Drosophila melanogaster: one gene and its partner. The protein of the gene in region 1 interacts with the protein of each later gene in a pairwise test. Each region holds a gene or a part of one and is shown on either strand. Other genes may lie near its edges. The genes, in order: Cad86C and PGAP1.

The links.
Region 2: the proteins of Cad86C (region 1) and PGAP1 interact in a two-hybrid assay, tested with the Drosophila melanogaster proteins (one large-scale study listed by BioGRID).

The regions. Positions count from the first base shown.
Region 1 is NT_033777.3:10,825,443-10,830,308, forward strand, and holds the start of Cad86C (cadherin 86C), read left to right. Parts: upstream 1-1,636; 5' UTR 1,637-1,898; exon of another isoform or gene 1,899-2,554; intron 2,555-4,866. UniProt on the Drosophila melanogaster protein: Cadherins are calcium-dependent cell adhesion proteins. They preferentially interact with themselves in a homophilic manner in connecting cells.
Region 2 is NC_004354.4:5,684,606-5,691,587, reverse strand, and holds PGAP1 (Post-GPI attachment to proteins 1), read left to right. Parts: upstream 1-2,114; 5' UTR 2,115-2,186; coding exon 2,187-2,327; intron 2,328-2,390; coding exon 2,391-3,122; intron 3,123-3,183; coding exon 3,184-3,366; intron 3,367-3,418; coding exon 3,419-3,663; intron 3,664-3,717; coding exon 3,718-4,140; intron 4,141-4,201; coding exon 4,202-4,327; intron 4,328-4,395; coding exon 4,396-4,589; intron 4,590-4,649; coding exon 4,650-5,283; intron 5,284-5,351; coding exon 5,352-5,447; intron 5,448-5,507; coding exon 5,508-5,676; 3' UTR 5,677-6,335; downstream 6,336-6,982. Other genes in the region: cv (crossveinless), read right to left, coding at 600-819. UniProt on the Drosophila melanogaster protein: Involved in inositol deacylation of GPI-anchored proteins.

The DNA of each region.
Region 1 (4,866 bases):
CACGTGGGCCCCTTGGCCAAATCTCAAGTTTTTCCAACTGCAGCCGTAGCAAAAGTTGTAAAGAAACCTCCATGCGCACGGAGGTTAATATGAGAAATGGGTTCAACATCTGCTCCGAGTTCTTGTCTTGGGTTTTGGGCCTGGGATTCGGCGGTAAACTCGTTTAGGTTGCCGCCCTCATTGTGTTCGTTTTTTCCTTCATTTTTGGCCCCATGTATAAATATCCTATAAGACAGTCGACAGCAGACAGCGGCACTGGTCTGTTATTGGTATTGGTATTGGTATAGGAAAAATATTTTAATGTACCTACGATAGGCTGCTCCGGCGCTCTGCCGGCTGCATTAGATGCAGGTCACAAGATAAATAGCACAGAACACGATTACACATATTGAACAAGCTGAAAACATGATCGAATTACTGCAATTTCGTGTGTAGCATTTTCCGGGCCGACGCCACCAGGAAAATCCAACTCGAAAAACATTGGTTCTCTAAATGTTTTAATTTGTCGGTGGCTGAGGGGGGCGGAGGGTGCGGTCTTTTGACCAAATTAATTAAACATACACAAGTCATTAATCGAAAACATGTCGGTTTTGAATATTAGCATAGTCACGGTCTCAGTTTCGAGTACTATTAAAAACAATGACCTTTACAATATGTTCCTGTCGGCAAGAAAGCAAATCCAAATTACATATTTCGAAAGATAACAAGATATTGAACGCAGTCAGCATTACATAATTCGGTCGCATCTAGGTAATCTACTTTTAAGACCCTTTCGAAAACTACTTGAAATATTTAAAGTAGGTAATAAGAAATATTACTACCACCACCTGATGATGGCAAGCCCTTTGTAAAGCCGATATTACAAGTAAACAACAAAATATTTTATGCGTTTTGCGATACCTCTAAGAAGCTAAAATATAAAAATAAATATTGCAACCCTTTCGAAATTGTAAATGAAGCATAAATATAGGTAGGTAACTAACACACTAAAAGATTTAAATAATAAATATATTAAATATAATTAAATATATTGTTTGCCTGCTGAAGCGCCAAATTCATTAAGTGCTTTGATTTTCAGCTTGAAAAGGCGACAATAAAATCGTCGAAATAAGCACCGATATATAACATGCAATAATGGCTTCATGTCTCAATGGAAAACAGCGAAAATCGCTAACAAATTACCTATTGTATAAGCCGTGCAAATTTGTGGCCAATAGTTGAATAATTGAATAAAACGCCATTTGCATGTGCGAACGCAACCGAATACAAGAGCTGCAGGATTAATTGCGGACTCGTCCGCTTCCGATAGTTCTCAGGCTTGTTTATTATTGGGAATATATCAAGGTTCATTGGAGTGGAGTGGTTGTGGAGTGGAGTAGTGGAGCAGTGTGGTTGTTGTACCTACCGGCGAGCGAAACGGGTTTGCTGCTCCCACAAAAACAAGAGTGAGTATTGCCATTGCCTTGCTTTCGGTTCCAAAGAGAAGAAAGAGATTGAGAGAGAGAGAGAGAGAGAGAGAGAGAGAAACCGGCTTTCTGCGTCTCGGAAGACTCTCGCTCTGGCTTTCTGCGGAGAATTCTTCGCGTCCAGATAAGCTCCACTAGTCCAGCACTCTTTCCGGACCATTGGCGTCGGCAGTAGCACTTTGTCGTCGGCGCGCTTTACAACACACCCGGATCGGATCGGAATCGAAATCGAAATTGTATCGCCTCGACTATGCCATACTATACTATACTATACTATACCATGTCTAGCTGCGATTAAATCGTGATCGCGATCGCCATCGGAATTGGAATTGCAATTGAAATCGGGACTGGAGGAGACTGAGATTGTTGAGCTGCTGGTCAGGCAGTATAATTGCGGCAATTTAATGTGGACGCTGAACTGCTGACGCTGCTGTACGTAAATACTTTTGATGTTGATGTTTCTGCAATCGGAGACTCTAGCACGGCGAACAAAAGAACGTTTAGCAAATTCGCCAAGTTCCCAAAATAAATGAGCTTCGGTGTTGAGTTACGCAAAGAATGGTTTCCTAGTAGTGACTGACAGGTCTGCCCGATCGGTATCCCCATTAATTTCGTATCTGACCGATCTGATCGACTTTGATCTAATCCGAAGGCAAGGTCGTTCGAGGTTCATTCAAGCGAAGCCCCAAATTGGTTATCTGAGCCGCTTAGAAAACACGGTTCGGTTTCAGTTTCGGTTTTCAATCGATTTCTTTGGGCTTCTTGACTCATCAGAATAAATTTATTAAAGACGTGCTGGACGCGGAAGGATAGTTGGTGGATAAAACGCTCAGAAATGTGCCTTTAAATCAGTGGCCAAAAAGTGATGCAGTCAATTTAAGATACGGTCTATTAATATTCAGTGCGGGTCCGAAAATGTCAATCACTTGATTACAAACGACAAACAAAAGCAGTGAAGTGCTCGAATTCGGGTTGCATAAATCAGGCGACCGCGACCACATGGAAAGTTGAAATTAAAAGTCAGACTGTGAAGATACGACGATTTTTTACCGGAGTTCACAACGCAGCACTTTTTAACCATTCAAAAGGTATAATTGAACTAGTTTGTATGTACATATTTAATCAACCAATGTCTGATGTGCGAGGGAGAAAATTAAATATATAAATCATGTCTCTGCGAGATAAATAACAAATAAAACAAAGTTAAAGTCAAAACCAACTCTCTCCCCTGTATTATTAGGTAATCTAAAAAGTTGTAAAGGGGCTTAACATTTCATAAAAATAATTTATATAAAAATAATTTAGGTATTATTGACGCTGTACGTATGTATTAACATTTATGCATTCTATAAATATTCACGTTCTTTAAGTCCTCTATTAACTATTAATAAAACTTAAATGCCGCCTGTCGATATTTAATCATCATGTCTCTATTTCGAAACATTTAATTACTGATCTTTCGTTAAGTAGCAATCGATTTCAACAGACGCCGTAAATTTGACAATCTATCCAACCTTCCTTCCGAAATCTCAGATATCGTCGGATGATTTTCCAGTAAACACCTACTTTGGAGGTAATTTGTGGGATGATCCCCCATAAATACTGGAAACATCAAACCATATGGTGAATCTAATCAAATCGGTCGCTTGGTCGGTCCATGTTGATGGATTACATAACGATGTACATTCGTCTGCAGCCAACGAGTAAGTCGACTGCTGCTGCAGGAACTAGCCAAGTTGCTTTATATATATATATACAGATACATATCTGTATATATCGAGCCACACGAACATGGCTACCAGCTACCAGCTACCAACGCAAAAGCAAACAGAGACTCAAACTCAAACGCAAACGCAAAGGCAAACTACATACCTGGCCACTTACCTGAACGGCAGCAACAACACCGGAGCGACCTTGCCTGACCCACTTTACTCGGGGCAGTGCCAAAATTGACAGCTTTGCGGCATTTTAAAATTTATGCTGCAGAATTATCCATAATGGCAGTGCTGTGTGCTGTGGGTCTTATGTGCCGTCCCGTGCGTGCCTGAGCATCGAAAACGCACATATGTATGTACGGTATGGTATATTCGTGCCTCGTTTGGCTTTGGGTTCTCGAAAGTTTAACCTTTTCCCGGCCATCGATCTACCGCTTGCTTTCATTTATAAAAAAATCCGACACGCCGCTGAGGGGTGCAGTCGGTTTGGGTCGACGGTCTATGATTTACTTCGTTTATGGTTATTCTTTTTTATGCAACGCGTCCAACCGGGCATATTTATTAATTTGGGGGCAGGCTGTTGGCCTCAACTAAAACGGCAAATTAGACTACTGGAAAGCCATTCGTCGATCGCTGCATCCCGATTAACAGCGCCCGGAGACGCTTAAAGTGAATTACAGCGACCGCACATCGGCATGGGCATCGAAAAATCGCGTTCGTTGCCTGAGTCTTTCGATTGCCGCGAGGCAACGGGACGCACATCCACGTATCTCAACTCGTAATGGCGACTAGTTCTCGCCGGTTGCCCAACGCAGTGTGGCGTCATTAAAGTGTCGTTCAACCGAGGTTTTAAAAACACAATTCGGAGTCTGAAGCCTTTTGGCCCGACCGCATGCAAAATGAAGAACAATAACTGCGCGAAGGCACATAAAGACATTTATTTATGCTCGACGCCCACAATGTCGCCGCTGCAGTCTGGCTTTTTGGCCCGCTCTTCATTTGCCATGCCGCGCAGCTCTTGGCCAAAACACTAGCACTACACTACCCTCTTGGCCAACTCTCAGCGCGTCCCATTTGCCAAAGTGGAAATAAATTTTTGCTTTATTGAGGAGAGCAATTATGGCCTACAACGACGCGGCGATTCCTTACAACGACTGCAAATAGATTTTCTGTTCTTCAAAATAGCCCTAGCCTCCACTCCATTCCCAATTCCAATCTTGTTCTTTAAGCACTGAAAGAAAATAGCGTTTAATTAAACGATTCGAAACACTTCAATTTGGTTCATAAGCGATAGTCCGAAAAGATATATGACCCATAAAGACATTCAACTGATAATTAATGTAAACGAATATCATTGATATAAATTCACGTTAGGTGACCGAAATGGAAAATTGAACGAATAAATGAATAGTAGGTGGCATTAAGATATGAAACTAGTCACTACTTTATTGTCGATTTGCATATGATTTTTGCCGAGTGTCTTAATGCCGTAGGCCCCTGATCCGCCAGCAAGCCATCAGTCACAGTCTTTGTCTGGCCGTCTGCAAGGCTTCCTTCATCCGATGACGGTTGGTAATCCAGACTGAGGAGCAGACTGAGCTGAAGGCTGGCCAATGGCAAAGGCGTTTTTCTTTTCTTTTTTTTTTTAGTAGTAGTACGTACCATCCCAGTTGGATGGATGGTGT
Region 2 (6,982 bases), on another chromosome or scaffold:
AACGTAAATTGCATTTCCCGAAAACCCCATCGGAATGATTACAGGCTATTATTTATTTACTTATTTACAGCATCAATAAACTTTTTTTGGCCCACTACTAAAATGGATAATAAAATGACAGAGAAACTGCACAATTAAAAGGTTGTTTGATGATTATAATAACTTGGAATCTAAGTATTATTTTTAAGTATTATATACAAATCTAAATTTGCTAGTCTAGTTCTTGAAGTAAAACAATGTGTACTTTCTCTGGCAGTAATAATCTGAAAATTTGTTTCGATCTGAGGGACCTAAACTTGTTTCTTTTAGCGGCTTAGAGCTGCGACCCCTTGTCCCACGTAAGGGTTAAGGCTAGGCCCGATCGTCAGCTCAAGTCCGTTATCGATAACTAGTTAGCACATCGCAAGCTCCCCCCGCACTCACACACACACACACTCACGCACATGCACATACGCACAGCAACAAAAACAAAGCGATGGCCATCACATCATCAGTGGTGATCAAATCTATATCTATGCATGTGCACAACCAGCCACTGTCCACCGTCAACCTCCAACCACCCAACGCCCACTGACCGAGGATTCGACGACCTTCCTTACCCACACAGCTGCAGCACTCCTCGTAGTTCTTGCCCAGGCATTTGAGGCACTCCTTGCAGCAGGAGCAGTTCTTCAGCTCGCACTTGCAGCTCTGGGTGAGCATGCACTTGGAGACGATCGAGGCGCAGACGACCTCGTTGCAGGACTCCACGGTGCCGTAGAAGCAGACGATGGCCAATAGCACGATGGTGCCCACTGTGAGCGAGCGCCAAATTTCCATGATCGGCGGTGGCTGTGTGTGCGTGTGCGCGTGTGTGTGTAGGGATTGGAATGCGCTCTTTCCCGCAGTTAAGTGTTTGAGTGTGTGCGCGGGTGCAATTACAACAAAACAACAATTACAGGCACACAAGCACACGCAGATTGGGCATTTGATTTGACTTGACTTGACTCGATTTGCTCGCCTTCTTGCACCACTATTAATTTATATATATATATATATATATTTATATATATATGAATTATCGCTATGCGATTCCGGACGGATCAAAACAACAACAAGCGACACCACAACGAACACTAAACAGCAACAACTAGCGAGCGGATCGAACTGTGCGCTGCGGCACTGACGTTGACGGCGGCAGAGGAGCGACTGCGCGGCGACAATGTCTCTCTCTCGCCTTGTTTTTGTTATTGCTAGGGCACAAACTGTCTTTTCTGCTTCTTACCCACACCTGAAACAACAACAATAGAGCCAGGCTAGACACAAACATGCACACACATGCGCACGCACACGCGAATTAAGCGCACACACACGCTCAGAAAGCAGGCTGGCTCACACGCACACACTAACAGTTACGAGCCAGCTTAGAAATTCGAATGAATGATACTGACGCCGGCGCCGCTGCCTTTTGTTGACAATTCCGGTATCCGAATCAAATAACTTCGTCTGAATCTGGAGGATCGGTTTAGATCAGATCGGCGGATCACAGCGCACGCGTACGCCAACTGAATGATCAACTAGGCAAAGCAACAACACGATTCGGCTCGATACATAGGTGTTTATGTGCAAGTGTGTGGCGATCGAGAGATTGGAGATGAGCGCAACTGCGACAGCAGTGAACGGGTTCTAAAAAATCACGACTCGAAATCACGAGACACTGATCAAGCCAAATTACTCGGTTTTTGCATAATACTTTTTCGCATTGAGCAAAGAACTTTAGTTCATCCATTAATAGCTGTTCTCATGTTTATGTAAGCCAATTTACAAACTATTTTAGTAGCTCGTTAAAATATTCTCTTGTATTTAGGGCTCAGGACTATGAGCAATTCTATGCATTTTGTACGTAGTTTTCGTAAACTATTGTTTCACAGAAATTTTATCCAACAAAATTTTGAAAAGCTAGTGTTATACAATTAAATGTTATTGTACGTAGCTCTGATCATTTTACAGTATATATGTTTATAATTTCAATATCATGTCATGGATAAGCAACTTAAACGATACTTTTATTCATGGGCGGCTTGCACACCATTAACAAGTACATACCCGATAAGCTATCGATAACTCGCGGAACTTTGCATCGCCTGATATCGAATGGATGATAACAAAACAAGACATAAACAGATATGAAAAACTAAAAGCCCAGGATGTTTATGTTCCGGAACTGCGCTGTTCTCCTAGTGATCGGCTCCATCTGCTGCTTCATCTACGGCCTGTTCCGCTTGCACGTCGAGGTGGAGCCCAATGCCTGCCGGATGACATACATGTTCGGCGAGCCCATGTTTGCGGTGAGTACGATTCGCTTCTTGAAAAGATCGGCCCACCAATCGCTGATTATACTTGGTTTGCAGAAAGTGGGAGTTAGGGATGGCGACCAGTATCCAAACTACGCGCTGTATTATTACTACGAGGGACTGCGACAGCCGCTGGATCCGCTTAAGCGCCGGATGACGGGTGCTCCGGTTATCTTCGTGCCCGGCAACGCCGGCTCCTACAAACAGGTGCGTTCTCTAGCCTCTGTCGCCCTCCGTAAGGCAATGTCCAACGATGCGGGCATACATTTGGACTACTACACCATTGACTACGACGAGGAGTTGTCCGCTCTGTACGGTGGCTATCTGCACCGCCAACAAAGCTATCTGAAGCTGTGCATTCGGACCATCCTCTCGATTTACGAGGGTCGCACGGAGCAGCCCTCCATCGTGTTGATTGGCCACTCCATGGGCGGCAAGCTAGCGCAGTCAGTGCTAGTTGATCCGGCCATTGGTCAGCACATCAATACAATTATTAGCATATCTACGCCGCTGGATCAGCCGGTGCTCAATCTGGATACCCAACTGGAGGAGTTCTACGACCAAACGGACGCTGTGCTGAGCAAGCTGCGGACTGCCACAGTGCCCACGATGACCACAAATGTCTGCGACAGCCTGCACCAGCGACCACCAAGTGTGCAGCGCATGGCCAGTCAGGACAGCTCGGCGCGGCTGGACAATGTGTTGCTTATTTCCACGGGTGGCGGCAATAGGGATCTGCTGGTGCGACCTGGACTCACCAGCTCCCGGTTCAACGATCTGCATGCCATGGTAGTTAAATTATTCTGCTTGTCCGGCTGAATTCGCATTTATTTTTATTCCTGTTTTTCAGACATCAGCTATACCCAAAGTTAGTCTGAGCTGTGACCATCTGTCGGCCGTGTGGTGCTTGCAGTTCATGCAGGCCATCAATAGGTTTCTCTTCAGTGTAGCCTATGTACGCGAGGATCGCTCATCGATCGCCTTTGGCACCAACAAGCAGCGCAACTTGCAGACGGCATTGTCTACCTTTGTGGTAAGTTGCATTGTATTCTAAGCACTAGTAAATACAAATGATATACTTACAGAAGCCTCGAAGGCGTCAGCAGAATACTGTGCGATTCGGAGCTGCTGGAAATTGGCACGAGGAGCGGCGTCTGGTGATAAATAAGTACTTCACGAACGGCCTCAAGGGCACCTTCTTCGATTTGATTGGCTTGCAGCGACAGGAGCGTTATAGAAAGGCGGCCATCGAGGCCTTGAATGTGGATGACGAGGACTGGTTGTTCGGATGCTCCGCAGAGGACAACAATAAGACGGGACAGCTTTATTGGTAAGTGAACAGAGTAGTCTGTTGAGATAGTTTGTATAATTAATTGTTGCACAGCGAAAAGGCTACCTCCCTGATGCACCTCGTCCAGTGGCTGCCCAACGAAGATCGCGAGCCACGCAGCATTGCTCTTCTCGATCTGCACAACCTGCGCAAGACCTATGTTCACTGGACCCATTTGCTCGTTCGCCTACCGCCGAGCGCCAAGCGAATCGGCTACAACCTGGACATCTACGATCCTAAAGAGCGGGTGACGGACATCAAGATGCCGCGCTGGTACACAATGGCCAAACTGCCATTGATAAACGAGACTCTTCAGGGCACGCTGCACCATCGAGTGCGCATCTCCGAGATGGTGGATCCATACCAGAGCATTCGGGTGATTGTGGAGCCGCTGCAGTGCATTAATCCCGAGTATAGGGTAACTGCGAGAATATGCGTTCCCTGGGCAGCGGGCTTCGAACGTTTCCAAACACTCAAGTCAGTTTGATATACGATTTTACGCCTTGTGGTATTAAATTCGTATGATTTATCTTTTCAGATCGTTTGATCAGAAGCCCCAATTGTATGTAAATGTGCCTACACTAGTGCCCAGACATTATAACACCACGCTCAATCCTGTGACACTGGAGCTATATCTAGATCCAACCTGCCGCTATCGAATCAGGTAACTTTCATCTCACACTTAGTTCAGTAGTGTAAACCCATCTCACTCTGATTTATGTGCTCTTCCAGCTATGAGTACTCCTATTCATCGGCACTATCTCGGCTTGTTCTGGAATTCTACGGCTGGTTGCCGGCGCACCTGGTCTGCGTGTTGCTGATTGTGCTGAGAAAACAAGTTGAGACCTTTTACGACGTGGGCACATTTCGTAGCCTGCGTCCTTATGTGGGTTACCTGCAGTATACATCGCTCTATATTGTCACAGGTTTGTTTGCACCACTGTATTTAGCATACTCATATTAATCCATATTTAATGCATTTTCAGCATGTCGCCTCCTAAAGAAGCTCATCATCAGCAGCCGTGTGTTTCCGGAGCCAGAGCCATTGGACTACAGCATCAATGTGTCCATTGTTATCCACTGTGCGGCCATTGCCTTGTCCCTGCTGGCCACGCTGGGCACTTGGTTGGCCCTGACGCTCTATGGCAACGCCTTCTACCGCCTAGCCCTGCGTATAACGCGCCTTTCCCAGGCAACCTCCAATGTGATGATCTCGATCATGACCCACTTGCCCATTACGTACGGTATACTAACTATTGCCACGGCCATGGGCACTTGCAGCGGAGTGGGTCTTCTCCTGGCCTTTGTCTTCTACTTTCTGATGCTCTCGAATGCTTACAAGGATTATCTGGAGGATTTCCTATGGCAGAAGGCGGCTAATTTGGTGCGTGGAAAGCCCTCTGCAGTGACGGAACAGGAAGATGCAACGGAGGAGCAGAATGAAGAACAGAATGCGCTGAAGCAGAACGATGAACAGAAGCAGCAGCAGCAGGAGGAGGAAGAGCCGGAGGCTTGTGTTGGCCTGCAGAATTTCTCCTTTCATGTCACACTGCTGCTGATGCTATTCGTGCAACTGCTGCTCAATGCTCCAAGCAGTTTGGCTTGGTTGCGCAGTCGCCGGTAATTATTTTCTAACCTTTCGAAGATAATCTTGAGCTGAATTTCCGCTCTGTTTTTTTTTTCTTCAGGCATGGCATTAACCTGCCGGATCCGAGCTTGTATCCCAGCATCGTAGTTTTGGCCTCACTGAGTTTGCTTCTCCAGCTGCGAGCTCCACAGAAATGGTAATTGAAAAATTTTCATTACTATATTATATTATCTTTAAAATGCTAAATGCTTTGCAGTCAGGGATACTGGATGCTATCGATTGCATTCTACATTCTGGCCGGCGTGGTTTTACTGTACTGCCAGGCGGCCATCTACAGGCTGACCTATGTGATTGCCGGGGCCTTCGCCCTGCTGTCTGCCCACCAAAGTCTCTGGATCCTATGGGGTCGTGTGTCACGAGTCTAGTTTCAGTTATGGTTCTCCATGTGTTAATTTGTTATTTATTGCTGCGTTAGTTAATGCACTTCGATTAGAGAGAGAGTGTCGCTTATGTAAACCAAGCAAATAGCGAGGCAAATAAGCCCAGATCTGGATCTCCACCAGCGGGAAGTCCAAACTGAGCTCGGCTGGGCGTTGATCTCGATTTGCCCCGATCGCACGTTATATGTATTAATTGTTTTTACGCCTGCTGTCTGCTGCATTCGATTGGCGATTGGCTCGCCATCTCGGGTGGCTGGCACGTAGTTCTCCATTTGAGGGAAATGTGTGAAAATTTTAATGCCCATTAGCAGCAGCGACACTCGCCAGCCATTTTGTGGTTTTTTTTGTTTTAGCCAAAGACCTTAGATCTTAGTACTTTAGTCCCTCCGAAATTATTTACTTAATATTCTATTGATTTTTGCTTAGTTAAATCCTTTGTAAGCGAAGACAATATAAATTTGTATTAATCACTCTGTTTCTTTCGTCTTACAAATGGATCAACGACCTAATGTAGCTGCCATATGACACAAACCGACTTTCATCCCAAACTAACTTTTGTATAAATGTTGTAAATGTTTTCCAAGTGTTATTCTTATTTTATTATTTAGTGAGTCCCTTGTTTCACCATTAAAATACAATTTTATACCAATTTTATAACTACCAAAAACGAGCAATTGCCAATTTGCTGACCAGTTTAGCTGGGCGTTGAAGTGCGGATTCATCGATCGACCCAACTGGATGCCGATTGAATGTGGATCTGGTTGCGTTCGATCAACACCATCAATTTAATGTCTTATTTGCGCATCGTGGATATCTGGATCAGTCGGTGCATCATGTTCACAACCCCACACCAGCACCACGCAAACTGGGTGAGCCATTCCATTGCAGTGGCAAGTCAACAGTGCCCACGGGAGTCGTTCGGAGCGGGCTTTTTGTTCACTGACCAAACACGATGTCCCGATAAGGATGTGGACACCAGCTCATATGTACATATATTCCATATATTCATGCCGACATCTGTCATCCAACGTGTGACGAAAGTGGTCAATATTCGTGCCACTTGTGATATAACCAAATGGCAGTTCGCCGAGCAATGTACATATGTTAATATCGGCAAAAAGTGGCCATTTCAATAGCGGCTTAAGTAGCTCACTCAGCTCAACCAAATCCTTAATGGAGCCAAACAGTTTGCCAAAGTCAGTTAACAACTTTTTGATGGTTGTGCAACATTTGGCGTATGGATCGTATCATATTTTGTGCGTGCTCTTTAATTAGCTTAACTATTTGTTGA